Linked DNA regions of Stegostoma tigrinum. The protein of the gene in region 3 binds, or shares a complex with, the protein of the main gene of each other region. Links are inferred from orthologs where the notes say so. Each region holds a gene or a part of one and is shown on either strand. Other genes may lie near its edges. The genes, in order: arpc5lb, arpc2, actin-related protein 2/3 complex subunit 1B-A-like and actin-related protein 2/3 complex subunit 5-like.

Region 1 (7,913 bases), on a different chromosome or scaffold from region 3:
GGTAAGAGATAAGTAGTGGGAAAGTAAATGGTCTGAGGGGGATAAAAGTTTTCTTTAAAACCTCTGAACAATTTTCCTACTTGACTAAGACTTCAGTTTCCTGATTTCCTATCTGTGCCTCCAATGGAGTAGCAGCATTTTGGTGCCACAAATCACATCATTTGCAGGACCTTTATGACTGTAGTGAGGTTAATCTGTAATAAATCCAACAACACTATAGAAACTGGTGAGTTTTTTTTTCCAGAACAAAAATTTTAGTTAATCATCCAGCAATTCTGGGACTCATTTCCAAATAGTGCCATGGGCATACATATCCATGAACGGATGGTGGCAGTTCAAGACTACACCATCTCAGTTAGGATTGGGCAACAAATGCTGGCCTAGCCATAGATACACCATTCTTGTGAATGAATGTTAAAAATTATGGTGATTCAGAACTCATGGCACAGAAAAATTGATTTTGTACACAAACATTGAGCCAGTACATGCACAGTAGCAATTCAAGAATGTCATTCACCAGTTTATAGCAACTGGCACAGACATAAATCCTGGCATTGCCAACAACACCCACACAATGCCAACAAAAAAAAAGTGACCTTATGAAAGCAAAACAAGTTCATTTAAACAGTGCAACCATCTCAAAATAACATGGATAGAAGATTGGCTAGCTAACAGGAAACAGAAGTGTCAATAGATCATTTTTGGTTGGCAAATCTAAGTCGTAATGGGCTACAGAATCAGTACTGGGGTTTCAACTTTTAATTTATATGAACAGCTTGGACAAAGGGACCAAAGGTATAATCACTAAAGGCACCACGACAGGTAGGAAAGTAAACTAAAAGAGGACACAGGAGGCTACAAAGGAACATAGTTTAAATGAGTCAGCAAAAATGTGGGAAATGGTATACAAGTTGAGAAAATGTAAAAATGCTTATTTTGACTGCAAGATTTAGACAGAAGCATTACATAAATGTGAGTTTGCAGAGCTCCAAGGCGCAGTATGATCTGGGTATCCTCAAAGGAATCACATGATTAGTGTGCAGGTACAGCAAGTATTTAGGAAAGCTAATAGAATCTGTCTATTGTAAAGGAAATTGAATACAAATGTAGATTACTGTTCAGCCTTTCAGGGCATTTGTCTATAGTACTGCATACAGTATTGGTCTCCTTATTGAAGGAGAGAAATAAGATATCCTTGAAGCAGTTCAAAGAAGGTTTATTACACTCATCAGGTCTAGCAACATCTGTGAAGAGAAATCAGAATCAGGGTCAGAGGAAGTGTCACCAGACCCAAAACATATTAACTGATTTCTCTTCACATGCTGCCAGACCTGCTGAGCTTTCCAGAAATTCCTGTTTTTTGTTTCTGTCAACAGGTTTTTCAGTTTTTATCATCTCACAACTGGAATGGGCAGGTTGTCTTATGAAGAAAAGCTGGACAGGCTAACCTTAATTCTGAAGTTTAGAAGAGTAAGAGGTGATTTGTTTGAAGCAAAATCCTGACAAGCTTTGACAGGGTGCATATGGAAGGGAAGTCTCTTCTCGTGGGAGATTCTAAGGGGTCACCTGTTTAGGGCAGATATGGAGAATTTTCCCAGAAAGTCATCAGTCTTTGGAAAAGTCTTCCACAAAAAGTGATGGAAGAAGAGTCTTTGAATTTTTTAAGACAGAAGTAAATAGATTTATGACAAAGGTGGGGATAATCTTTCAACCACACACAATATTATGTGGAGTAATCAGATCAGCCACAATCAAATTCAATTTATTTTCTCAATCTATCAGAAGTGTTATGTCAAACCTGTGCAGCCGGTAGGACTTAAACCAGGCCATTTGGCTCAAGGGACACTGGCAGTGCACAAGAATCTTATTGAATGGCAGAGGGGTTAAGTGGCCTAGTCCTGTAACTAATTTATATATTTGCAAGAATGCAGGACCTGGCTAAAAATGCTCAAATACCACTGTACATTAACATTGTGACTGAAAATGATCGCTATTTTCCAACTTGAACAAAATCTCAAATCAAGGGTTCCCAAACGGTGGGCTGCAGTGCCAGTTGGATGGTGGAACAACGTTTTTGGGATCATGATTTCATTTTAGCGACGGTATGCTTGGAGCTTGAACTGAGTTCTGACAAATTGATTTCTTTTATGTCATTTTGGGTGGCTTTATCTTTTGTCTCATTTGACATTTGATTGTTACTACAATCACAGCTTGTACAATGGTGGCTCTCTGCTATTTTTAGGGACAAAGTGAGCAGCAGTAACCCCGTTCGTACTTCCACCCATTTCCACACTGAGGACTTAAGGTGCTGATCACAGCGGGGTAAATATTGGAAATTAAAAAAATAAAAGGTATTTAAACAAATCTCCAAAATGACAAATTCTGCACATGATATAATAAACTCACACTGAAGTCGTCAGTTAAGTGACAAACTCGATGAAAATGAAGCAATCCAGTGAAGGATGAGTGCGAAAGCAATGCCATTAACTTCAGTCGAGGGTGCTCCAGGCTGCCCGGGAGCGCAGTTAATAGTCGGCAGCAGTTTGAGAGCGGGTGCGGTTCCCAGGGGGTGAAAAAGAGTGAGAGGTCCGTGGTCATGGGGAGGGGAGAGCTGTCACCTTCCCTCCCGGCGTCATGCGGCGCTCTGCCAGCGCCTGGTCTCTCACAAACACGCGCACGCAGAGGGAGACGGGCCATAAGGATATTGCCTGATGAGAGTGTCCACTTCCAGCGAGTCGGGCCCCTGCTGCTCCACCGCCTCCTCCTGCTCATCCACAAACTTGTTCTCATCGTACTCGTCAACGTCGACTTTCCGGAACCTGTTGGAGAGCGTGTTTCTCGCCATCTGCCCCTACTTATGTTAAAAGAGCAAGTGTTAAATGGGGACGATAAGCCACTCCCTCGCCGACACCCGCACCTACTGAGCCGGAGGCTGCATCGGCGCCGGGCGATCGCGCTGCTTCCACTCAAACGCGGGGCCTGCCGAACCTCGACCCGGAACCGGAAACAGTCTCTGGAATGCACGATCTCAGGGAGAGGGCCGGTAAGCAAAATCAACAAAACTCAATGATGACTGAACCCCGTCGTTAAATGAGTTACAACGACGGGCTATAAAGAAAATAAAACAAGTAGGTTTCTAAAAGACGACGATGTTTGTGTAAAGTTAAACGTTTGACATAATGGATCGCGCTGAATCCTCCCCTCCGTGAAATGGATGGTAGGTCCTATCACGTGGAAATACAGGCCCCGCCCGCGAGGCCTGTCTTTTCCTGCGCTTGCCCAAGAAAATGGTAGGAGTCTGTAGGTTGTCTGCTCCTGCTAACTGGAGAATCCTAATTCATCCCGAAAAACTACTGGCTCTACAGCGGGAGTAGCTGGCTCTTGTGAATCCTCAGGCTCCCCTTTATCGGCTCCGCCAGTTATTTAGGATTTCTTTTTAGATTTTATGTTTAAACTGCGACGGATGATCCGCAGGCCGCGGTGTGTCTCTTATTTTTACATGGCGGCCCCGCTGCCTGGTCCGCGTAGGTAGCCCCGCCATTGGGAGTTGTGGAGATGCGGGGCCTGTCGAGCGGAGTCTGCGGGAGGGGCACATCAGGCGGGAGCTGCCTGAGCGTTTAGACAGTTGTTGCGACTCCAGACGTCCCGCTGGATCACCCGTGGCATTGCTCAACGATATCAGCTTCAGTCTTCACCCCCCCCCCCCCCCCCACCCCGCCGCCGAAGAAAGTCTTGGTTTTACTCCACATTTCTATACGTCTTTGAAATTGGCGATAATAGTGGTCCTGTTGCTTCTCCCTTCCGATTGTGAGCAGCTTTTTCGTTTGATGCCTCAGTTGCTATCTTCCCAACTGCAGTGAGGTTTTGGGGGTTTCTTAAGGTGAAGAAATCAGGGTCAACTCCTCTTGGTGACTCAAGAGGGAAACCTATTGATAGTGATCCTCTTCATCTTTTTTTCCATTCTGCTTCGTGATAGTGGTTACTGGGCTAGTCAGGTGTTGTTAGAGAAAGCTTGGTGAGTTGTGATGAATTCTGATATTTAGCTGCAGTACAACTAGTGGGTGTCCAGTGATGGTTGCAGTGTTCAAGCATGTTGGTTTGTTGCACTAGTCTGATTTCTTCAGTGTTGTGGGTGTACCCATCTGGTAAAATGGTGAATGTACTTCTCGCTGCAGATTTGATCCTCGTAACTTTGAGAAGAATGGGAAAAGGAGTTTCATATTGAATAGTAAAATGTGAGGCTGGATGAACACAGCAGGCCAAGCAGCATCTCAGGAGCACAAAAGCTGACGTTTCGGGCCTAGACCCTTCATCAGAGAGGGGGATGGGGGGAGGGAACTGGAATAAATAGGGAGAGAGGGGGAGGCGGACCGAAGATGGAGAGCAAAGAAGATAGGTGGAGAGGGTGTAGGTGGGGAGGTAGGGAGGGGATAGGTCAGTCCAGGGAAGACGGACAGGTCAAGGAGGTGGGATGAGGTTAGTAGGTAGCTGGGGGTGCGGCTGGGGGTGGGAGGAAGGGATGGGTGAGAGGAAGAACCGGTTAGGGAGGCAGAGACAGGTTGGACTGGTTTTGGGATGCAGTGGGTGGGGGGGAAGAGCTGGGCTGGTTGTGTGGTGCAGTGGGGGGAGGGGATGAACTGGGCTGGTTTAGGGATGCAGTGGGGGAAGGGGAGATTTTGAAACTGGTGAAGTCCACATTGATACCATATGGCTGCAGGGTTCCCAGGCGGAATATGAGTTGCTACCAGCCCAGCTCTTCCCCCCCCACCCACTGCATCCCAAAACCAGTCCAACCTGTCTCTGCCTCCCTAACCGGTTCTTCCTCTCACCCATCCCTTCCTCCCACCCCCAGCCGCACCCCCAGCTACCTACTAACCTCATCCCACCTCCTTGACCTGTCCGTCTTCCCTGGACTGACCTATCCCCTCCCTACCTCCCCACCTACACCCTCTCCACCTATCTTCTTTGCTCTCCATCTTCGGTCCGCCTCCCCCTCTCTCCCTATTTATTCCAGTTCCCTCCCCCCATCCCCCTCTCTGATGAAGGGTCTAGGCCGGAAACGTCAGCTTTTGTGCTCCTGAGATGCTGCTTGGCCTGCTGTGTTCATCCAGCCTCACATTTTATTATCTTGGAATCTCCAGCATCTGCAGTTCCCATTATCTCTTTCATATTGAATAGTGTCTTTTTTTGAAATTCATTCATGTGATGTGTGTGTTGCTGGCTGGCCAGCATTTATTGCTCATTTCTAGTTGCTTTTGTTTGGAAGCCACTCTGGCTTGATATTTATATTTTTCTGTGGTCAACTCCAGCTTGCCGCCACTCCTGGTTACATGCACTCATCTGATTCTGTCACCTTGAGCATCCCCAAATTCTGTCACTCCATCACTGGTGGCTATGGTTTCAGCTGTGCACTCAGAATGGAATCGTACAGTGTAAAAGAAGCTGTCTGGCCCATTGAGTCTGTACTGTGAAAAATATGCTAATACCTACACTCGTCCTATTTTCCCACAAGGCACATAATCTTGAATGTTATAACACTACAGGTGTTTGTCCAAGTACTTTTTAAATGTTTTACAGTTACACATCTCAGCTGCCCTCAGGCAGTGCATTCCAGAACTTCACCTCCCTTTAGGTGAAAAGATTTGACTCTCATTCCCCTTGAAACCTCCTGTCTTTTGCTTTAAAAGTGTGCCTTTTTTCTCTTGGCCCCTTGATTGAGAGGAACAGCTGCTATCTATTTGCATTGTCTGTGCCCCTCATAATCTTGTACACCTCAATCAGTTCTTCCTTCAACCTCTGCTCCAAGGAAAATAGCCTGAGCTTATCTGACCTCTCTTCATTGCTAACATACTCCATCCCAGGAAACATCCTGGTGAATTTCCTGTGCGAGCCCTCTAGTGCAATCATGACCTTCCTATACACAGTGATCAGCACTGCATTTACCGAGCTCTGGAATTTGCACCCTCAACAACAAAAGCAGCCACCCCACACACATGCGCGCGCACGCACACACACACACACACACACACACATCTCTTCCACTCTTCCTTTGCAGCATCTCTTAAAATTTGCCACTTTGACCAATCTTTTGGCCCTTTACTCTAACATTGTATGATGTCACTCAGTACCAAATCTTGGTTTTATGAAGCCTCTGGAAATACCTTGAGATATTTTACTTGTTAAAGTTGCTATACTTTGCACCTTGTGGCATTGTAATTAGGGCTTTATTGGTACTGTGAATCTGGAACTCTCCCTCTAAAGCTGTACTGGTTGGGTCAATCAAAATTCTTAGATTAATAAATTTCTGCTTACGGGTTATCTGGATTAGAAACTGCTAAATGGGGTTTAAGGTACAGGTTAGCAAAGATCTAGCTGAAAAACCTGATAAGTTGAAGGACCAACTCTTGCTCCATATAGCATTAACAGCTACTTGTATTATCTTCAGTTTTCGAATGTGTGTACTGTTGATCGAGTCCACTTGGAGGCTTTGTTTGTGTGACAGTAACATGGTGGTTCTTATTAAATATAGGCAAAAATCAAGGCACGTGATCTGCGCGGCAAGAAAAAGGAGGAGTTACTGAAACAGTTGGATGACCTCAAGGTTGAACTCTCCCAGCTCCGTGTGGCAAAAGTAACTGGAGGAGCTGCATCCAAACTGTCCAAAATGTAAGTATATAGGCTTGAGATATTTTGAACATGCCAGTGATTTTAAAATCTCGCTTATTAGAAAGGACAGCTTTGGATTAGTTTGGAGACTTGCTGACCGAGCTGGTGTGTTTGATCGCAGACTTATCGTCATCCTGCTAGTGACATTGTCAGTGCACCTCTGGTGAAGCATCGATGTTCTGTCCCGCTTGTTATTTATGTGCCTTGGTTTGCTGGGGTGTTTGGCGTTACTTCCGGTTTTGTTTCTCAGTGCTTTGTATCTTTGGTCCAGTTCAATGCGTATGTTGATGGAGTTCTGGTTGGAATGCCAGGCTTCCAGGAATTCGCTGGCATGTCACTGTTTGGCTTGTGCTGTTATGGATGAGTTGTCCCAGTCAAATTTATGTTCTTCTTTGTCTGCTTGTATTGAGACTAGTGAGAATTGGTTGTGTCTCTTAGTGGCTAATGTGTATTTGTGTATCCTTATTGTCAGTTTTCTTCCACTTTGGCCTGTGCAATGTTTCTCAGTCCTTGCATGGTATTTTGTATATTACATTAGTTTTCTTGGTTGTTGGTGTGGAATGCTTTACTGTCACAGGGTGTTGTTGGTTTGTGGGGTACCCTGATACTTAGGGGTCTGTAGGATGACGAGTGTTTCTGGCCATGTTGTCTCCAGTTGTAGTCTGTGCAAAAAGCAGGCCAGGAGCACTTATACAGAGTATTTAAAAAGAATGTATACCCAAAAAGCACAATCCGTGGCTACCTCCGCAACAGACCATAACAATAAGACAGAACATGGCAGAGGTGCACTGACGATGTTACTGAGCAGGGTGATGAAACATCTGCAATCAAATATACAAATATACTGGCTTGGCGAGCATGTCTACAACCTCATCCACAACCTGTGCTACAAACCTTCTCAAAAATGCATTGGCAGGTTTGGAGTCCAGCTGGTAGTGAGTCAGTGTTCTGGAGGTTTGAATGATTTTACTGCTATTTGGTGGGCATGATATGGTGCTCCAAAGAGACTGTTTGACTTTCTAAAGTACTTTGAAATTGACTTAAATTACAATGCAGAACCATGTAGTTCAGCCCAAAGAAAATAAATCTGGGAGTGCGAGATCCACAGGAGCTAAAGTGCTCCTGTTTCTACATCTTACCTTTTTTTTAGTTTCAGAGTTTGACAAGGTTTATAACTTGGTGTTATAATTGTTTTTCTCTCTCTTTAGTCGTGTCGTGCGGAAGTCCATTGCAAGAGTCCTGACTGT
Region 2 (7,559 bases), on a different chromosome or scaffold from region 3:
AAGGTCATTGGGGTCATTTAAGAGACTGCTGTACATGTATATGGTCACAGAAATTTGAGGGTGCATACATGAGGATCAATGGTCGGCACAACATTGTGGGCTGAAGGGCCTGTTCTGTGCTGTACTGTTCTATGTTCAATTAAGAGAAGTCCTCTGACAATTTGTTACCCAGAATATACAGGTAACCTGTTTCATATAGAACATTACAGCACAGTGAAGGCCCTTCAGCCCTTGATGTTGTGCCGACCTGTCATACCGATCTCAAGCCCATCTAACCTACACTATTCCATGTACGTCCATATGCTTATCCAATGACGACTTAAACGTACCTAAAGTTGGGAAATCTATTACCGTTGCAGGCAAAGCGTTCCATTCCCTTACTACGCTCTGAGTAAAGAAACTACCTCTGACATCTGTCCTATATCTTTCACCCCTCAATTTAAAGCTATGCCCCCTCGTGCTCGCCATCACCATCCTAGGAAAAAGGCTCTCCCTATCCACCCTATCTAACCCTCTGATTATTTTATATGTTTCAATTAAGTCACCTCTCAACCTTCTTCTCTCTAATGAAAACAGCCTCAAGTCCCTCAGCCTTTTCTCGTAAGACCTTCCCTCCATACCAGGCAACATCCTAGTAAATCTCCTCTGCACCCTTTCCAAAGCTTCCACATCCTTCTTATAATGCGGTGACCAGAACTGTACACAATACTCCAAGTGCGGCCGCACCAGAGTTTTGTACAGCTTCACCATAACCTCTTGGTTCCGGAACTCCATCCCTCTATTAATAAAAGCTAAAACACTGTATGCCTTTTTAATAGCCCTGTCAACCTGGGTGGCAACTCCACATCCTTCCTATAATGTGGCAACCACAACAGCATACAATACTTCAAGCATGGCCTAAAGTTTTATACAGCAACATGACTTGCCAACTTTTACACTTAGTGGCCTGACCAATAAAAGCAAGCACGCTGCACACCTTCTTTCCCACCTATCCTCTCGTGCTGCCACTTTCAAGGAGCTTTGGACTTCCATCTCAAAATTCCTGTTTACCACAGTTCCTCAGGGTCCTGCCATTTACTATACAACTTCCTCTTCTATTTGCCCTCCCAAAATGCATCACCTCACATTCGTTCGGATTAACCTCCATCTGCCATTTCCCTGTCCAACTTTCTAAGTGATCTATATACTGTTGTATCCTTTGACAAACTCTCCTATTATCCACAACTCTATTTTTTGTGTTGTCTGCAAACCTACGAATCAGGCCAATTACATTTTCATCCAAATCATTGTAAAACACAAACAGATGTCCCAGCACAGACCATAGCAGAACACCACTGGTCACAGAGATCCAGTCAGAAAAAAACACTCTTCCACTATTACCTCCTCTGGGCCAGGCCAATTTTGAATGCAGCTTGCCAACATACCATGGACTGCATGCAACTTAATCTCCTAGAGTAGCCTACCAGGATGGACTTCATCAACTGCTTTGGTAAAGTCCATGAAGACAACATCCACTACCCTACCCTCAATCATATTCATCATTTTCTCAAAAAAATCTATTCACATTCGTGAGACAAGACCTTCCCGTAATAAAGCCCTGCATATCCCTATTAAGTCTATTCTTTGCTAAACGTGAATAAATCCTGTCCTTAAGAACCTTTTCCAATAATTTCCCTTCCACTGATGCAAGGCACGGAAGCCTACAATTTCCTGGACGAGCCCTATTGCTCTACCTAAACATGGAACAACACTAGCTAGTCTCTAGAATTCTAGGACGTCAACTGTGGTGAAAGAGGAATCAAAGATCTCAGTCAAATTCCCAGCAATCTCCCCCACTGCCTCCCTCATTATCCTGAGATAGATGTCATCAGGTCCTGGGGATTTAGTGTTTTTAAAGACACTCACCACCTCGTCCTCAATATGAGCATGCCTTAGAACATACTCCATCTGAGATTCACCATTCAACATGGCCTCCTTTTTGGATACTGATGTGGAGTGCTCATTACAGGCATTTCATCTGGTTCCAAGTATAAATTCCTTTAGTGCTTAACTGGACCCCAGTGAGCCTCTTGCTCCTAACATAGGTTTATAAAATGCCTTGAGATTCACCTTAATCGTACTTGCCAAGGACATTTCACGGCCCCTACTGGCCCCAATTTCTCATTTAAGTTCTTTTCTGCTTCCTTCCTCAAGGGCCTTGTTCGATTTCAGTTTCCTAAACCTTACATATGCCTCCTTTTACTTTGTGACTAAACTTTCAATATTCCTTGTCACCCAGGGGAGGGGAGGGCTGGGTGAGGGAGATCCCAGGGTGGGGGTAGGGGTGTGGGAGAGAAGATGAGGGGGATCCCGTGGGAGGCGTATGCTGGTGGCGGAATCAGGGGAATCCAGGTGTTGCGGTAGGGAGATGAGGGGGATCCTGGGGGAGGGGTGGGCTGGTGGGGGGGGGGGGGGAATGTGGGGGATCATGGGGTGGGGGGGAATCCCAGGGGGAGGGGGTGGGGGGAAAGAATCCCGGGGGGAGGAGTGGGGAGGGTGGGGGGGGAGGAGTGGGGAGGGTGGGGGGGGAGGAGTGGGGGGGTGGGGGGGGGAGGAGTGGGGGGGTGGGGGGGGGAGGAGTGGGGGGGTGGGGGGGGGAGGAGTGGGGGGGTGGGGGGGAGGAGTGGGGGGGTGGGGGGGGTGGGGGGTTGGGGTTGGGGGGGGAGGAATCCCGGGGGGGGAGGGGAGATGAGGGGGATCCGGGGGGAGGGGTGTGTCCGGGTCGGGGCCTGAGCTGAGCGCCGGCCCAGGAGCCTCCCTCCGCCCGGCAATGAAGAAGCATTTCCCGGGTCCGTACCCCGCGAGCGCATTCTCCAACTTGAGGCTGAGGGTTTCCTCCACGATGCGGTTGTTAATCTCCAGCAGGATCATGGCGGCAGCGGCAAGGAACCCGGACACAGTCTCGGCCTCTCCTCCAACTCCAGACCCTCTCCGGAAACAAGGCCCAGCCACACCCGCAGAACCACTTCCGCAGCCGGTCAGCGCGGAGCAGGGGCCTTTCACGACCCCGGGGCATCCTGGGATATCTCACCACCATTGCTGGATTATTTCCCCAGACTTCTGAAGCCCTTCAGAGAAATATCATCATATCTGCCTAGATGAGACAAATGGGAAGAAGTGAGAAGCAGATGAAAAAAAATAAACGGACTGATGTTAACTTTCAGCAGATGGATGATTTCACAATGAATTTAAAATCTTGAGCGATAGTTGTAGGTCTCTGAACTTGCACGCAAACTTGGACCGCTTGGAGGATAACTGTTGTTAAGCAAATTTAGAGAAAGAGCAAGTGGGGAAGAAGGTGTGAGGTAAAAGGTATATCTGTGATACGGTGAATGGTAGGAAATATTAAATCAAGGGTTGATGTAGAGAGAGTGTACATCTTGAGGGTCATAACTGGTTAGATGCCTGTTAAACAGCATGAAGCAAGGTTGGATTGTGGCTTCCCAAATATTTCATCTCTTTGTTCCTGTGAACCAAGAACAAAGAACAAAGAAAATTACAGCACAGGAACAAGTCGTCAGCCTCGAAGCCTGCGCCAATCCAGATCCTCTATCTAAACCTGTCATCTATTTTCCAAGGATCTGTATCCCTCTGCTCCCTGCCCATTCATGTATCCGTTTAGATACACCTTAAATGATGCTATCGTGCCTGCCTCTACCACCTCCACTGGCAACGCGTTCCAGGCACCCACCACCCTCTGTGTAAAGAAATTTCCACGCATATCTCCCTTAAACTTTTCCCCTCTCACCTTGAACTCATGACCCCGGTAATGGAGTCCCCCACTCTGGGAAAAAAACTTCTTGCTATCCATGCTGTTTATACCTCCCATGATTTTGTAGACCTCAATCAGGTCCCCCATCGAACTCTGTCTTTCTAATGTAAATAATGCTAATTTATTCAACCTCTCTTCACAACTTGCGCCCTCCATACCAGGCAACATCCTGGTGAACCTCCTCTGCACCCTCTCCAAAGCATCCACATCCTTTTGGTAATGTGGTGACCAGAACTGTACGCAGTATTTCAAATGTAGTCGAACCAAAGTCCAATGCATCTGTAACATGACCTGCCAACTCTTGGACTCAATACCCCGTCTGATGAATGAAAGCATGCCATATTGCCTTCTTGACCACTCTATGCATCTGCGTTGCCACCTTCATGGTACAATGGACATGAACACCCAGATCTTTTCATGTACCAATTTTCCCCAGGGCTTTTCTATTTACCACATAGTTCACTCTTGAATTGGATCTACCAAAATGCGTCACCTCGCATTTACCTGATTGAACTCCATCTGCCATTTCTCTGCCCAACTCTCCAATCTATCTATATTCTGCTGCATTCTCCAACAGTTCCCTTCACTATCTGCTACTCCACCAATCTTAGTGTCATCTGCAAACTTGCTAATCAGACCATCTATACCTTCCTCCAGATCATTTATCACAAACAACAGTGGTCCCAACATGGATCCCTGTGGAACACCACTGGTCACAGTTCTCCATTTTGAGAAACACTCTTCCACTCCAATCCCTCTCTCCTGTTGCCCAGCCAGTTCTCTATCCATCTACGTAGTACACCCTGGATCTCATGTGACTTCACTTTCTCCATCAGCCTACCATGGGGAACCTTATCAAATGCCTTATGAAGTCCATGTACATGACATCCACAGCCCTTCCCTCATCTATCAACTTTGTCACTTCCTCAAAGAGTTCTATCAAGTTGGTAAGACATGACCACCCCTGTACAAAACCATGTTGTCTGTCACTGATAAGCCCATTTTCTACCAAATGGGAATAGATACTATCCCTCAGAATCTTCTTCAGCGGCTTCCCCACCACTGACGTCAGGCTCACTGGTCTATAATTGCCTGGACTGTCCTTGCTACCCTTCTTAAACAAGGGGACAACATTAGCAATTCTCCAGTCCTCCGGGACCTCACCATGCTCATGGATACTGCAAAGATATCTGCTAAGGCCCCAGCTATTTTCACTCTCACTTCCCTCAGAAATCTGGGTTAAATCCCATCTGGACCTGGGGACTTGTCCATCCTAATGTCTTTTAGAATACCCAACACTTTGTCCCTCCTTATGCTGACTTGACCTAGAGTAATCAAACATCTATCCCTAACCTCAACATCTGTCCTGTCCCTCTCCTCAGAGAATACCGACGCAAAGTACGCATTAAGAATCTCACTCATTTTCTCTGACTCCTCGCATAACTTCCCTCCTTTGTTCTTGAGTGTGCCAACCCTTTCTCTCGTTAGCCTCTTGCTCCTTATGTATGAATAAAAGGCTTTGGGATTTTCCTTAACCCTGTCTGATAGAGATATTTCATGATCCCTTTCAGCTCTCTTAATCCCTCATTTCAGATTGGTCCTACTTTCTCAATATTCTTCCAAATTTCATCTGTTTTCAGTCACCTAGACCTTTTGTATGCTTCCTTTTTCCTCTTTGCTAGTCTCACAATTTCACCTGTCATCCATGGTTCCCTAATCTTGCCCTTGCTATCCCTCATTTTCACAGTGACATGTCTGTCCTTTACTCTAATCAATCTCTCTTTAAAATCCTCCCACATATCAAATGTGGATTTAATCTCAAACAGCTGTTCCCAATCCACATTCCCCAGCTCCTGCTGAATTTTGCTATAGTTGGCCTCCCCCTAGTTCAGCACTCTTCCTTGAGGATCACTCTCATCTTTGCCCATCAGTATTCTAAATCTTACGGAAATGTGATCACTATTCCCAAAGTAATCCCCTACTGAACCTTCAACCACCTTGCTGGGCTCATTTCCCAACACCAGGTCCAGTATGGCCTCTTCCTGAGTTGGAATATTTACATACTGCTCTGGAAAACCCTCCTGGATGCTCCTTACAAATTCTGCTCCATCTGAGCTCCTAACACAAAGTGAATCCCAGTCAATGTTGGGAAAATTAAAATCTCCCATCACCATCACCCTGTTGCTCCTACATCTTTCCTTAATCTGTGTACATATTTGTACCTCTATCTCATGCTTGCTGTAGAGAGGCCTGTAGTACAGCCCCCACATTGTTACCACACCCTTCCTATTTCTGAGCTCTGCCCATATTGCCTCACTGCGTGAGTTCTCCACCATGCCCTCCTTCAGCACAGCTGTGATATGCTTGTTGGCCAGTAATGCAACTCCTCCAACTGATCATGTGAATGCTTCAGCCTTATTTTTTGCACTAATGTGCTGGCTTCTTTCATCAATGAGGATGGGGATATTTGTGGAGCCTCCTTCCCCAGTGAGTTGTTTAATTGTCCACCACCATTCACAGCTGGAAGTGGCAGGACTGCAGAGCTTAGATCTGATCCATTGGTTGTGGGATTGCTTAGCTCTGTCTGTCACTTGCTGCTATTGCTGCTTGGCGTGCAAGTATTCCTGTTTGTGGCTTCACCAGGTTGACACCTCACCTTCAGGTATGCCTGGTGCTGCTCCTGGCATGCCCTCCTGCACTCTCCATTGAACCAGGGTTGATCCGCTGGCTTGATCGTAATGTTTGAGTTGGGGATGTGGCGGGCCATGAGATTGACTTAGGATTGTATTCGCTGGAGTTTAGAAGAATGTGGGGCATCTCAGAAGATTAGAAGAGGGAAGGATGTTTCTCATGTTGGGGGAGTCCAGAACTAGAGGTCATTGTTTGAGAATAAAGGATAAACATTTTAGGGCTGAGATGAGTGGAATTTCCTTCCCTAGAGACTGGTGAGTCTGTGGAATTTACTCTCACAGAAAGTGATCGAGGCCAAAACATTTTTTTTATGTGGAAGTTAGATATAGCTTTGTGGTTAAAGAGATCAAGAGATATGGTGGACGTGGGATTAGGGTATTGAGCTTGATCTTCAGCCATGAGCATATTGAAAAGCAGAGAAGGCTCAAGCATTTAAATGGCCTATCACTGCTTCTAATTCTATGTTTCTATGTGCAGTAAAAAATCTGGCAACAAGTGGCATGTCAGTCTGAATTTGAGTATAGATAAAATAAGTCTTGCTACATTGTACAGGGATTTGTTAAGACCACATCTGGAATATAGATTTTTGGGAATGCAATTTTTGTTGAAATACTTAAGGAAGGTCATACTTGCATTTGAAGTGGCACAGTGAAGGTTCACTAGGTTGGTTTCTTGATTAAGAGGGTTAATAATGAAAAGCTAATTAAATTGGCTCTGTATTCTCTGGAGTTTAGAAGAATCAGAGATGACCTAATTCTCTTGCAAGATTCTGAAAGGACATTACATGATAACCATTGAGAGATCATTTCCCGCAGGCTTGGGAATTGAGAAATCATGGATACTGTATCAGGAAAAGGGACCAATCATTTAAGACTGAGAGAAGGAGAGGGTTTCATTCAGAGGGTTGTAATCTTTAGAATTCTGTATCCTAGAGGATGTCTATTGTTCAATACATTTAAGGTTGAGAGAGAAAGACTTTTAGTTTTTCTGGGAATCAAGGGAGTGGCCAGGAAAGTAGAGTTGATTGATCAAATCAGCTATGTTCACATTGAATATT
Region 3 (7,451 bases):
GTGTTGAATATTAACATTTAATCTCAAGTTTTAAATACAAGCTGAAGATTGCCATTTTGAACATTATGCCCATGAAGGCCTTTCAAAGGTCTAATTGGTCCCACCCCCTACTCTTGCCCACAGCCCTGCAAATTATGTTTTGAATTCTATGTTTCTGACCATTCCTTTTCCTTCCCAAGACTGTGACAAGTCCAAAATATGCCACGTGATGGTGGCTGAACAGGATGGATGCTGACTGGAGGAATCCAGACCTGTTGGGGACTGTGTTGAAATTAAGGAGTTTCCCATTTCAGATGGAAACACAGGAATCTCTCCACTCAATGTTGCTAGTCTTTGGAATTCTCTGGGGTAAGGTTTATTAAATGTATTCAAGACTGAGTTAGACAGTTCAGATTGACTAGCAGTTAAGGGCTATGGGGGCAGGCAGTGCAATTGAGATAAGCTCAAAATCTGATCAGCCATGATCCCGCCAGAAGGCAGAACAAACGTTTACTTCTGGTCATATATGCCATTCTTCATTTCAAAGCCCCACCTGAAAACATCATCACAGCTTAGTTTAAGCTATTTCATGTTCAACAACAATAGCCAGTCATTTCTGAACAGCAGTGAGAATATTGACTGATTTTTCCCACCCAACTCAACAGCATTGCTACCAACTATAACACTGAGGTCAGTGAGCTTAGCCTCAGGAATAATTGCAGCTTGAAAAACTTTGTTACCCATGCAATGTGCCAGCCCTAAATTCTCTAATTTAAAATGATCTCAATTACAATCTTTATTCTACCAGGAATCATTCTAAAGTCTAGAATAGGTTGACACGACAGTTGAGGTGAGCCAGGATATCAAAATAAAACTAAAATATCTAGCAAAGCAGAAGCATGTCATTATTACCAATCTTCAAAACAGACTGTAGACCATCTATTTAATATAACCAAATTCTCCACCTTTCTCATTAGCAATAAAGTGAACATGATACAGACTCTACACATTGAACTATATCAAAACAACTCAAACACTGCATCCAATGCTTCATTCTATTAGCTTAGAACTTCAAATGGAGATACAAGCTATTTCTATGGCTTTAACACAGCAGTATTCAGGTAATTAGCAGGCGGCTTGGGTTTAAATTTCAGTTTTTAGGCCTAAACTACTCCGACAGCGTTTTCCAAGTCTGTTACCTCTTGTCAAGCGCTGTAAATGCATAGGTACATTAATATCTTCAAATTTCCCTCCAAATCACCCACCATTTTAAATCTGAACACAGTAATGCCATTCTTTCGTTGCTGCTGATCCAAACTCATTACTTTAAACCTAACAGCACCTTGCCAGTATCTTGTTGGCTGTTCAAGGCTGCAGCTCACCGCTACCTTCTCAATAGCATCAGCAACAGACAAATGAATGCCAGTCTTTCCAGTGACACCTACATCTCAATTAGAGACACATCAGTTTAGGGGAGACGGAGATGTTCCAAAGGCCTCTACATTTTTGGACAAGACTTGGATTGGGAACAAAGGAAGAACATGGAGTGTGCTGGTCTTTTATTGAGGTCTTTACAGCCTAATAAAAAGGTGAACAAGGTTGCAGTCTCAAACACAGCTGAAAAGAACTGGAGGTTAAACTGCCCTGTAATTTTTCAGGAGGGAGGGAATAAAATGCAGAAAGAGATTGTGTTGAATTGTTTAAATATATTTTTTAAAATGATAGATATCAACGTTCCTAAAGTAATTCCCGTCAGAATTAAGTGAATAAAACATCAGTCACCACCTTACTCTCGCCCAAGTCAAGATGCTTTACATCCACCCAAGGGAACAGACAGAGGCATTAGTTTAACATCTCATTCAAGATGGCATCCCTGGCAAATCAGCACTCCATCAGAGCCAGTCTCCCTTTATCATGCTCAAATCTGTCAGCAGAATGTAGAACTTCCTGACTCAGAGGGGGCTGTGTTATAGACCGAGTGTTAAGTAATGCTGTAGCATATATTTAAAAAGCTGAACAGAAACATGGCTAAGGAACAGACAATGTCTTTTCACTGACTAATGGTTTCCACTGTTCCAACCCACTGCTGACCACAGCAGCCATATCTATAACATCCTGTTGCAGTGCATCACTCCTGCTCCTCCGAGCACTCCACGCTTACACCACATTTTCCAGAGAAATACAATCCAGGTTCACAGTGCTGGTTACGAATTCTTTCCTAATGCTCCATGCCAGAGCAAACAGGGGCTGAGCATCGAAATTTCATTTTCACTTCCCAAAAATAAAATGACTGCAAGCTTAAAAATTGCAATGTGAAAGTGCCCAATCGAGCATCGCTCAGATCACACAACCTGACAGGTGGAGCTGATAATTCATTTAGCCCACAAGGAGTTAAGTCGACATATTTGAGTGGTTGTGAACAATTTTTAAAAATCCAACTCGTGGATGTTTCTCCCATGGATTCGAAGTTCCAGTTTCGCCGCATCTTTAGCTTCTACGGGACACTGTCCGGGTGAGGCTGGAAATACTCAAACTCCCGTCTCCCATTTGATCAGTTTCTCCACTACTAACCGTCCTGAAAGTTCCTGCTAACTGGTTCATAACATACCGTTTCCCAGACACAAAATGGTCAAGATTGTTACTTACTCTGCGACAATGTGGAGCAATTTCTTGGAACGAATATGGCATTTAACTACAAACAGTCATTACACATTCCTGCCCCAAAGTCAATACTGAAAGGCTTCAGTGAAAGAAGCCCTTACGCAAACAAACTGACAGCCCGCGCTCTAAAAAGGAGACAACCAAAACAGTGAACTTACCTGCACAAGAAAACACAATGAAGCAGTTAAGAAGAAATGTAAATCTCCTTGCTTTTATATTTAAAAAAATTCAAAGTTGCCTCAGTTCATGGACTCTGTTCCGTCAACATGAACGGCAGTGCAGTAGCTCCAGCAAAGGGCTGAGAGACTGCTGCACTGAGAAGCTGCCTCTACTTCCCCTTCCTTTCAGAGAGATCCGACCACTTCCTGATGTGGGCGGCTGGTTCTTCCACCAGCTGCCTTTACATGAGTGCTTAAGTGCAGCAGGGCTGTGCAAGTCTCCTCCCTCCCTACTTGCTTACTTGGTTCCTACGATTCTAATAGGCACTCCGCACACAAACCACTCAGCCCTGTGCCGTATTTACGCTCTGTGGGTCATAATGGAATTGCTACATAGAGCTAAAATGGACACAGTACAGTTATACGATTCTCATTGTATTCAGCGAGTACCAGTCAATCTTAAAAGCTATTTTACCTCGTGCATTTCTTCAGTTTCAATATGAAGTCATCGAGTCTACCGGCTCTTTGCAACTGCTGATCAATGAACCTCAGTCCCTAATCTGTTCATAATATCAGCCTCCAACACTGCGGTTAAAGAGCAGCGGTTTGGGGATGTTGCATGAAGGAGTAAGGCTCCTTGGGTAGTATTGGTATTGTACTAGCAGGCAGAAGGAGGAAATTCCAATCCAATGTGCTAATTTTGCAAATCTTAGAAAGGCAGACATTGAAGTATTTTACAGTTTTTGGACTGGGACGAGGAGGAGAGGGAAGGCAACGTTTCTGTCCTGTAATAATGGGAACTGCAGATGCTGCAGAATCCAAGATAACAAAGTGTGGAGCTGGATGAACACAGCAGGCCAAGCAGCATCTCAGGAGCACCTGAGATGCTGCTTGGCCTGCTGTGTTCATCCAGCTCCACACTTTGTTATCAACGTTTCTGTCCTGTTTGTTCTCCAAAGTCCGTATTAACTAGCTGCAGAAGCACTGGCTGAGAATGGTGTCACTGTATCATCCTGTGTGACCAAATTCAGTCAATGCTCACTGGCTGACAAACTTGATAAGAGATGCTTTTGCACAGTCAGCTGAAGCTCAGGTGGTGTCATTCCCACCTTGGAGTCAGAGGGTTGCCAATTCATGATCTATTTTAAGCATAACATCTAGGCCAGCATACCCGATTCTTTTTCCCCCACCGTGAGTCCATTTCTAGACTTGAAAATTGTTGTGACTTCTTAATGAGAACTTGGGTGGAGGAGTAGGGTTTTTTGGGGGGGGGGGGTGGTTGTAGCTTCAGAGAAAACAACAGCCTCTTAGAAATGAGCATGCTGCTAGAACTTGGAGCCCCATGGCAGATATTGCTGCCTCAGAGTTGACAGCCCCAAAATTTCAGCTCGTGATTCCACTTTATGGTCCCAATACCCCCTCCCCACCCCCATCCACCCCCCTCTCCCCCAAAGTGCTAATGTTTGGAATTAGCTCAAGAATTCCAGTTTAAAGGATAAACCACAAAGCAATGATGCAATGGATGAGAGGTCATTGAAAGTGAAGCTGGGATATACATGAACAAATATGGGAGGTGCAAGTAAGTGTAGAAGATCCAGGATTTGAAACTTTGCCAAGGGTTTCTTAAATTTTTTTTCAAACAAATCTGTTTAAATTTCTGGTATTGCTATTTTTAAAAAAAATCACCATATTATTATTCAACTGGCTCACTAAAATGTGTTGTAGATGTCAAGGGTGAATGATAGTTGATCACTGAAGAAAGTTTCATATGCTGTAAGACACCTGGCCTGAGCACAGCAATGCTGAAATGGGCAAGGATAGCACAGGTGCCTTCCATGGGTTCACTGCAAACAACTCACACAAAACTTCAGTGAGGCAACCCACAAAAGAATGCTGATGGTGTGGGATTGAGCAAAAATCTCCATCATAAAATACTGAACAGGACTCTGGACTTTTCAAAACTTTTAAAAGTAAATTGGTCAGCTGGGCTGAGCTCTGGAAAAAATATAAAAACACAGAGATGGCTGCTCAGAACCAATGTTCAGCCTGGGATTCCAATTTACACCTCCACTTTAAGAGGTCAACCTAGTAAACCTAACACTCTAAATCAGAACCAACTTTTACACCTTGGGCTACCCAGCACAAGCAGTATGGACCCTACACAGATACCAAACATTTAACTTCAATCAAAATCCATTTATACATACTCAACTATTGGGAAGATAATTGATTTCAGAAGGAAACACCAGGAACGGTGAGGACAACACAGATTTGTGGGGGGATAACTGGACAATTGGTCTGTGTAACTGCTAGCCCTGATCTGACCCGAGGGGAGAGCTTTTTCAACAATAAACTCCTGCATGAACAGCTTCCCCAGAGTTCCAGCACCAACACGCAGCTTCAGAATGGAGAACTACAGAGGACGAACAGAAACTCAGACGGCAACCCAAACCAAGGGTACCATCGCAACAAAGGACATTCCGGGAGCAGGGAAGCAAACCAAGCACGATCCGATAAAGAGCTTCCAGACACAGGTCTGTTCTGAACCAATAGCAAGAACCTCAACAGCCTGCAGAACTTCAAAACTGCATTTTCCTCAGCGGTGAGCTTAAAGTCCTAAGACCCCAAAAGTTTCCAACCTAGCTAGCAGGGAGGGGAAGGCAGGTGGTGACAGTGCATGGGACTCCAAGGGTTGGAAGCCTGATTAAATTTTGAGATTAAAACTGCTGTTTAGGTTCTAATACTGTTTGAATAGTGTATTTCATTACTGTCCTCTATATAGCTGATAGTGTTACTTTCACTGTTTGTTACATTTACCTTTATTTTCTTGTGTTTTTTTTGTATTTAAGCAGAGATTCTTTTGCCCTGAAATGCCTATCTACTGCCTTCTTCATTTTGCATTTCCTAAATAAGTCCAGTGTCAGAACCAGGGAACTGGTGACAATTCAAACCACCTAAAAATCAGCAAATTACTGAGTACAAACCAGAAGCCTACAATGGTGTTCAACATTTGGAAGTGCGAAGATGTCTGGCACCAATTTGGCACAGAGCTTGAACCCATTCTTTCCAGCATGGAAGTACTGACCAACTCTGTTTGCACACTCGTGGACCAAACCATGATCACAACTTCTACTGAAACCCAAGCAACAGACACTCAATATCTGACTATTACAGTGAACACTGGCTGCTGACAAGTGAGCTCAGCTGCTGCTGTGCAGATTCAGACTGCTGTCATCATGGTTCTGGTTATTACTGTTCAATAGGGTTTGCATGACATTGCAGCATTTCAGCAATCTGTCCAACAGATTACTCGGATTGCTGGTGTGTTTTGCATCATGAATCATGAACTTGGTGCACTCTCACCTCTGTCAATACCCTTCCTGTCACCTGCCAGTGAGTTAACCACTGCACCATGGTGTCTCGGCAATAAAGTTTTCTAGGCCCAGAGTTTCTTGAGATCATGCTCCAAGGTCCAATTGAAATTTCCTCCAATGTAAGTTAGGAGTCTTCTTCCAGGCATACTTAGAATCACTGGAGTAGACCTGCAGGAAAAAGAAACTAGGACAGACAATATCATTTGCAAGACTGGCTCTGAGAGAATAAGGCAATTGGTTCATCTTTTCATGCAAGATGTTGTGGGTTCATGCATAAATTTGGTTTGAAACATTTGTGTTTACATTATCCTTGTATGGGGACAATGTGAATACCGAGATGGTCAATGGCAGAGGAAAGGAAAATTGTTGGAATGTTGGTAAATGGGGAGTAGGCGTTCAGTGCTCATACCATACCCAAATCAGCTTTCAATCTGTCCGCAAAAAAAATTAAGTTGTCGATCCTTCTTCCTTCTCATCAAATAGCTGACAGTATGGGCTGTCATCTGATGATTGCTGTACGACGCATCTGCAGGATTCTGCAGCGTACTGTAGGATGGTTCCAGTGGTGTTCTTTTAGTGCATGAATCCCTGCCCTGTCATTTCATGTGTCAGCATGGTTTTATTTTATACAGACAGGAGTCACCAGCCACCTCATCAGAGGATGTTGTCGTTAACCAGTAACCACTCTGAGTTGTGGCAATGTGACTGTTCCCAGGATATCAGACAATGACCAACATAATTTCCCACCTATGGTCGCACACTATCTGGATATTAAAAGGCATACAATCCCCTTCAGAGATAACAAGGTGCAGAGCTGGATGAACACAGCAGGCCGAGCAGCATCAAAGGAGCAGGAAGGCTGACGTTTCGGGCCGAGAAGCGGGGTCTAGGCGCAAAACGTCAGCTTTCCTGCTCCTCTGATGCTGCTTGGCCGGCTGTGTTCATCCAGTTCTACTCCTTGTTATCTCAGGCTCTCCAGCATCTGCAGTTCCTGCTATCTCAAACAATTTCAATCCCTTTCAGAGCTGTTATAGGACACAGTTGACACAGAGCAGCTGCAAACACAATGTGCTTACAGTCAGGGTCTGCCAATATCAGGTCTTACAAAAACAGGTCAAATTGTGAAGGAGACCCACTGTCTGTTTTTGGACAGGATGGCTACCTGTCCACTGCTCAGAAGCTGAGTGTGGTGGCTAGTGAAAGTAAGTTAGTAAACTCAGCCTTATTTTTAAGCAGAAGAGCAGAGACAGCTACTGATTTTACCTTACTTAACTGACCA
Region 4 (6,916 bases), on a different chromosome or scaffold from region 3:
TTATCACCTTCCTCACGCTTTACATTCTTGATCTTTATTTACTGCCATCAAAAAAAAATGCCGTAATCTCCCTTCAATGACCTGCTTGTGGGCACAGTCTGAAGCTGGAACGTTCACAAATTTGCCATTACAAACAACCCTGATCTGAACTTCTGACCCTACATCCTCTCTACTGCCAAAACTGCCACTTACATGGTTGTAACATCACCTGTCCTAAACATGCCTCATTTCATCTACCGATGAAATCTAGTTGATGCCTTAGTTAGTTGTATATTTATTACCAATCTTTCCACACTGGTGAGCTTCCGACCTTGCAATGTCTTCAAACTTGAACTCATCAAAAACACAACTGCCCATTTGCTAACCTACGTCCCATTTACTTATGATAGCAGGAACTGCCAATGCTGGAGAATCTGAGATAACAAGGTGTAGAGTGGGATGAACACAGCAGGCCAAGGAGCAGAGGAGCAGGAAAGCTGACGTTTTGGCTCAAAACCCTTCTTCAGAAAACCAGACGCTCTACACCTTGTTATCCCACTTACTTATCACCTGTTTGCTGTATTGGCTGCCTGTCAGAAGGCAGAGGGTTGGGATAAAAGGCTCTTTTTCGGAATGGCAATAGGTGACGAGTGGTGTCCCGCAGGGTTCAGTGTTGGGGCCACAGCTGTTCACCTTATATATTAATGATCTGGATGAAGGGACTGGGGGCATTCTGGCGAAGTTTGCCAATGATACAAACATAGGTGTGCAGGCAGGTGGTACTGAGGAGGTGGGGAAGCTGCAGAAAGATTTAGACAGTTTAGAAGAGTGGTCCGGGAAATGGCTGATGAAATTCAATGTGAATAAATGTGAGGTTTTGCACTTTGGAAATAAGAATACAGGCATGGACTATTTTCTGAATGGTGAGAAAATTCGTAAAGCAGAAGTACAAAGGGATCTGGGAGTGTTGGTCCAGGATTCTCTAAAGGTTAACTTGCAGGTAGAGTCCGTAATTAAGAAAGCGAATGTAATGTTGTCGTTTATCTCAAGACGGTTGGAATATAAAAGCAGTGATGTGCTTCTGAGGCTTTATAAAGCTCTAGTTAGGCCCCATTTAGAATACTGTGTCCAATTTTGGGCCTCACAGGTCAGGAAGGACAAACTAGCCCTGGAGCGTGTCCAGCGGAGATTCACACAGATGATCCCTGGAATGGTAGGTTTAAAGTATGATGAACGGCTTAGGATCCTGGGATTGTACTCATTAGAGTTTAGAAGGTTGAGGGGAGATCTAATAGAAACTTACAAGATAATGTATGGTTTAGAAGGGGTAGACGCTAAGACGTTGTTTCTATTAGGAGGGGAGACTAGGACCCATGGGCACAGCCTTAAAATTAGAGGCGGTAAATTTAAAACTGAAATGAGACGACATTTCTTCAGCCAGAGTGTGGTGGGCTTGTGGAATTCATTACCACGGAGTGCAGCGGAGGCTGGGACATTGGATGCCTTCAAAGCAGAGATCGACAAATTCTTGATCTCAGAAGGAATCAAGGGCTATGGGGAGAGTGCAGGGAAGTGGAGTTGAAATGCCCATCAGCTATGATTTAAATGGCAGAGTGGACTTGATGGGCCGAATGGCCTTACTTCCACTCCTATGTCTTATGGTTTGAACTGACTTAAAATGATTCCCATTCAGGTATTCCCTGATTTTAAAAATCTTCTTGTTTTCAACTCCCTCCACAGCCATGCTTCTTGCCCTTTTCCACTTGAACAATTCTACCACACATCTTGCTCATTCCTGATTTTCACTGCTTTACCACTCGCAACCATGCCTTCAGGCTCCAGGATCTGAAATACCCTTCTTACACGTCTTTAGTTCTTCCTTTAAGATGTTGTTGAAAGCCTGTCAAATCAAACAAGCTTTTGGTCACTTGTCCGAATGTGTCCTTCTGTGGTTTGATATTCTGTCAAGCACTCTGACCTTTTGCTTAATGCAACCCTTAGCCTGATTCATCCAATCCAATCCTCAACTGTCTCCTGAATTACAACCTGCAAGAATTCCAGTCCACAAATATCCAAGTCCCAGCCTGCATTTAACAGTACACTCCCGTAATATCCACCCTCCGTAAATATGAACTGAAACGCTCACGAAAGCAAAATAAAATTGTCATCTTTAAACTTCTTCATATCCTCACGCCTGTCTGTTCTACGAATCCCCTGTTTAGCTGAGGCAAACTGCCACTGCCTTGATCTTAAACTAACCGACATCCTAGCCTACTTCGGGACTGAACCTTCAGCCAGGTTCTTCCGAGAGGGGCCAAAGCTTCAGCATTTGTGTCCCACCCTAGAATGCAACTGACACTATGCAAATACAAGAGATTCTTAGAGCTAAATCTCGCCGGTAAAGGAAACATTTCAAAAATAAATAAACCAATCGCATTAAATGCAGAAGTTCAAATAATTAAGGTGTTCAGATAATGTTTAAACGGTTGCAATGCAAGTTAAATTATAAAAAAAACACCACGCCCAGATCACAAGAAAATGCAGCGGGTGCAGCCGTCAGGCAGGGACTTCCTACTGAGTGAATGAACAGTTCAGAGTCTGTAAGGAAGCGGGCCACCCGGACTGTACAGCCCCGGTACCGCTCTCTCTGGGACTGCATCCTCAGGTACTGTTCATTCCTGAGTTGGCCCGAGGGCCTAGAGCCCCGGTACCGCCGCTTCCCCACCTCCATCTTCCCCACCCGACGCCCGCGGCCCGAACTCAGGAAGGATATTGCCTGATGGAAGCGTCCACTTCGACTTCGTCGGGACCCAGCTGGTTCTCGCCTCCTTCCTCTTCGTCCACGTAGTTGTTCTCGTCGTAGTCATCGACATTAACCCGACGGAACTTGTCGGCGCTGGTGTTCTTGGACATGTCGCCGGGCAGAGGAGAGACAACACGGAGCAGCTTCCAACCGTCACTCACTGAACTCGAGGCCACCGCTTCCGCACGGGGCGGTCTTGGTGCGGGGGGGGGGTCAGAGGTGGAGGGAAGACCCGCTCCACTCTGCGCCTGCGCACCGCCCCAAGCGCGTGCACGCCGCGTACGCGCATAAGCGCCCCCGAGACCTGCCCAGGTGAAGCGTGAGCGCTGTGTCGGTTCACAGCAACTGAAGGTTGATGTCGAGCTGTGCAGCACGGAAACAGGACAACCAGGTTATGCCGAGCATAATTCCAAACAAAACTAGCTCCACTGCCTGCTCCTTCCATACATTTCTCATCCGTGCTCTTTTGGGTATTTTTGATATTTTTCTAAGCAACCTGTTCAAGGGTGTTGTTAACACGCCTTTGGAAGCAGGTGGGACTTGTATTTGGTCTCCGAGTCCAGTGCGCTATACGACCCTCTTTACCCTCAGAGACTGCAGATCCTGGAGTCAGAGATAACACTGTGTGGAGCTGGAGGAACGTAGCGAGTCAGGCAGCATCAGGGGAGCAGGAAAGCCAACCTCGACTTTTCTGCTCCTCTGATGCTGCCTGACCTGCTGTGTTCCTCCACCACAATTGGAAGATTGACACTGAACATTTATCCTGGTTGTTTCATAACGTTTCTATTCCAGGGCGGGGAGGGCAAGAACTCAGCCCCCTTGGTCAGAGGTGAGAACACTACCACTACGCCACAAGACTTTCTGTGACATTCTTCTCCAATTGTTGCTGAATTGCAGTGAGTCTTACCATGCTGTAGCTTGCATTGTTGATCTAGGTTTATGTTTCTAACTCAGAGGTAAGACAAAGTGAAACAAATAGAATGTTGACGAAGCTCAGCAGGTCAGGCAGCATCTGAGGTGTAGAGAGAAACAGAGTTAACATTTCAAGTCCGCATGACTCTTCTTCAGACCTGATGACAGGATGAAGTATATTTGGGCAAGAAGAAAGGGAGGGGGCACTTATTATCTGGAAGGTGTGAGCATCTGATGAGCAGAGGAGCAAGGCGAGCTGCGAATGCAAATACATCAATCACTAAAGCCTGTCCACAAAAATGGGAACCCTTGCAGTGGGCTTTATTTCTAGACAAATCAAATTGAAAGTGAGAGAAGTGATACTGAATTTGCCTGGCTAAAATCTTGGTAAGCTAAGACAAAAGATACTGTGGCATTCCTGTGTTATAAAAAGAATTTTGAGGCAGTGAAGTGGGATTAAAGAAGGTTTACAACACTTACTTCCCAAACGTTTTCACATTGTGACCCCATTTTGGCATCTGACAACAAATCTGAGCCCGGATCTGGAGGTATGGTGGGGTGTTGAGGTAGGGGGAGATAAAAACATGGAAAATAGGAACAGGGGTTGGCCATTTGGCACTTTGATCCCGCTCCTCCATTCAATATGGTCATGGCTGATCATTCTATACAATATCCTGTTCCTGCTTTTGTCCCATACCCTAAGAACTATGTCTGATTCCTTCTTCAAAACATTTAATGTTTTGCCATGAATCACTTTCTGTGAGAGAATTCCACAGGCTCAGCACTCTGGGTGGAGAAATTTCTCCTCTTCTCAGTCCTGCCCATAACCTTTGGCTATGACCCCAGGTTCTGGAATCTCTGGTCATTGAGAACATCCTTTCTGCATTTACTATGTCTAGACCTGTTAGAATTTAATCAGTTTCTATGAATCGTGAACATAGTCCTAATCGGTACAATTTCTCTTTGTATGTCAGTCCTGTCATTCCAGTTAATTCTGTCATTTGTTGCACTCCCTTCGTAGACAGAACTTCCTTCCTTAGGTAAGGTGACCAAAAGCGAACATAATACTACAGTTGTTATCAAGGCCCTGTACAAGATTCTATAGCAAGACATCCCTGCTCCTATATTTGAGTCCTCACATTGTAGCTGGCAACACACCATTTGCCTTCTTCACTGCCTGCTCCATTTGTATACTTGTTTTCAGTGACTGGTGTATGAGGACACACTAGCCTTGTTGCACCTCCGCCTTTCCCAATGAATTGCCATTCAGATAATAATATGTGAGACCTGGGATTAACAGAATGGAACTGCTTCATCCATAGACTTTTTACATTTAAACAACACCTAGTTATCCACAAAATTTATCAACACATCATTCAGGCCTCAAAGTTTGGCTGCTTAGGCTTCACTCACTGCAAAAAATTTCCAACAGTTTAAAGGGGAGGTGCAGCTTTAAGCATTTAGTCAGATTTCCATAACAGCCTTTTCTGCCTCCCAGTGTGACCCCAGCATTTCAATTCAGGACTGATTTGTGTAGATGATACCTTAACAGCGTGGGCATGTTTAATCAAAAAGGATTGTCAGACTGGGTTTGTTTTACTTGTGGAAAAACAAGAATGATGGATCACCAAATAAAGGCATTTAAAACAAACATAGAGAGTGCTGGAGAAGTTTAGCAGGCCTGAAGCATCTGCGCAGAGAAAAACAGAGTTAATGTGCTCAGTCCAGAATGAAAATACAGGAGCATTTTACAAGCTTCACACAAACCCGCTCTGCAAGCTGTTTCTTGTAAGTTTCGAGATCGCTCAGTGTACTAAAGCCCTGAGAGAAGAAGCTGGATTGTGCATCTATGAGTGACATCATCTGGAACCAATCAGATCAAAATTCAGGTGGCACAGAATACCACTGTTGCAGTTACCCAAAAATATTTCAATAGTTTAAAATAATTAGTGCGTACATGACCCAATGGATGTGGGTATTGCCCACCTAGTGTGGTATTCTGTGAAAGGTACATTGCATTGTTCATTTCCTGGCCTGTGTACATATATCTAATCTCCTTCGGGGTTCCACGTCCCATGGTTAGCATCTAAAGGGGAGAAAGCAACTGTGCTTCCAATGGTCGGACATCATCTATAGATTGTTCTTTGAAAAGAAAGCTTTGGATAACGATATTGGCCAAGCCATATTTTTAATGATACACATTATCAATCAAGCTGCAGCTATTATGAACAGTGCCAGGGAGAAGAGAGTACTGTTGTGAGAAGTCCTGTTAACATCAACAACAATGTCAAGAGTTAATAGTTAAGGGAGTAAATTACACCTAAAATCCAGCCTGGATTCCCATTTGACAACCGAGGTTTCTCTGAAATTTGTACCTCTTAGCAACTCCTCCAACTGATTAGGGCCTAACCTTGGTTTTCCCTCCTTCCTCTGGATAACAGCCTTTGGTGAGGGCAGTAAAGTGCCACGTAAATTTGTACATGTTGAAGTCACGATATGGAGATGCTGGTGTTGTACTGAGGTGGTGAAGGTCAAAAATGACATGATATGAGGTTATATTCCAGCAGGTTTATTTGAAGGCATGAGCTTTTGGAGTCTCACTCCTTCTTCAGGTATCAGTGAGAGAGGTGGCATCGGATGCAGAATTTATAAACAAAAGATCAAAGGGTCATAGAACTGATGTGATGTTGAGCAATTTAAAATGGCTATTAAATATTTAATCAGTTCGAAAAGATTAATATGCAAATTCCTGAATTTCTCTCAAATCACAGCCCAAAGATAAATAAATGCTTTATCAGTTCCCTCAGTACACTAGAGATGACAAGCCAGGTCAGACAATGCATTTTGAGTATGAGGCCTTGTTCTGTATCTGGCTGTGCATCAAGTTTAAGACCTATGCAGCTGTAACAACACCTGTCTTCAATGCAAAAAACAAAGTCTACATGACGCACAATGTAAATTAATGGCTAAGTAAAAACCACATGACCTTAAACCGGCCAAGAAACCCATGCAAAAGATAGAGAGAGATAATGTGCAAATAAACACCAAATCAACTTATAGCAGGAAATCCAAATTGCCTGTGACAATAGAAATTCACAGACTATATATGGAGGGATCAAGAAGGTGCTTGGTGCTGCTGTCACTAATGTTGTCCCTGAAATCAACAGATGCTGAAGTACTCATCAACAGAAGTAAACAGATGTTCCGTTGGGCTAAAGATAA

What was found.
Region 1: the proteins of actin-related protein 2/3 complex subunit 1B-A-like (region 3) and arpc5lb are in contact, whole or in part, in a cryo-EM structure (PDB 6YW6), measured with the Homo sapiens proteins. The link is inferred for Stegostoma tigrinum from reciprocal best matches to the Homo sapiens genes ARPC1B and ARPC5L. Residues at the interface, in NP_005711.1 of Homo sapiens: Arg118, Lys138, Arg142, Phe164, Ser201, Gly203, Trp204, His222, Asp223, Ser224, Thr225, Leu240, Ala241, Ser242, Glu243, Thr244, Leu245, Pro246, Phe281; in NP_112240.1 of Homo sapiens: Asn21, Lys22, Arg102, Gly139, Leu140, Gly141, Ile144, Arg145, Thr148, Arg150, Lys151.
Region 2: actin-related protein 2/3 complex subunit 1B-A-like (region 3) and arpc2 share a complex: the UniProt entries of both Homo sapiens proteins name them as parts of the arp2/3 complex. The link is inferred for Stegostoma tigrinum from reciprocal best matches to the Homo sapiens genes ARPC1B and ARPC2.
Region 4: actin-related protein 2/3 complex subunit 1B-A-like (region 3) and actin-related protein 2/3 complex subunit 5-like share a complex: the UniProt entries of both Homo sapiens proteins name them as parts of the arp2/3 complex. The link is inferred for Stegostoma tigrinum from reciprocal best matches to the Homo sapiens genes ARPC1B and ARPC5.

What each region holds. Positions count from the first base shown.
Region 1 is NC_081382.1:26,287,815-26,295,727, reverse strand, and holds the start of arpc5lb (actin related protein 2/3 complex, subunit 5-like, b), read right to left. Parts: upstream 3,007-7,913; 5' UTR 2,846-3,006; coding exon 2,706-2,845; intron 1-2,705. Other genes in the region: rpl35 (large ribosomal subunit protein uL29), read left to right, coding at 3,288-3,290, 6,530-6,666, 7,875-7,913. UniProt on the Homo sapiens protein: May function as component of the Arp2/3 complex which is involved in regulation of actin polymerization and together with an activating nucleation-promoting factor (NPF) mediates the formation of branched actin networks.
Region 2 is NC_081360.1:104,225,882-104,233,440, forward strand, and holds the start of arpc2 (actin-related protein 2/3 complex subunit 2), read right to left. Parts: upstream 3,004-7,559; 5' UTR 2,911-3,003; coding exon 2,837-2,910; intron 1-2,836. UniProt on the Homo sapiens protein: Actin-binding component of the Arp2/3 complex, a multiprotein complex that mediates actin polymerization upon stimulation by nucleation-promoting factor (NPF).
Region 3 is NC_081376.1:12,211,205-12,218,655, reverse strand, and holds the start of actin-related protein 2/3 complex subunit 1B-A-like, read right to left. Parts: upstream 3,010-7,451; 5' UTR 2,799-3,009; intron 1-2,798. UniProt on the Homo sapiens protein: Component of the Arp2/3 complex, a multiprotein complex that mediates actin polymerization upon stimulation by nucleation-promoting factor (NPF).
Region 4 is NC_081361.1:45,984,428-45,991,343, forward strand, and holds the start of actin-related protein 2/3 complex subunit 5-like, read right to left. Parts: upstream 3,005-6,916; 5' UTR 2,893-3,004; coding exon 2,752-2,892; intron 1-2,751. UniProt on the Homo sapiens protein: Component of the Arp2/3 complex, a multiprotein complex that mediates actin polymerization upon stimulation by nucleation-promoting factor (NPF).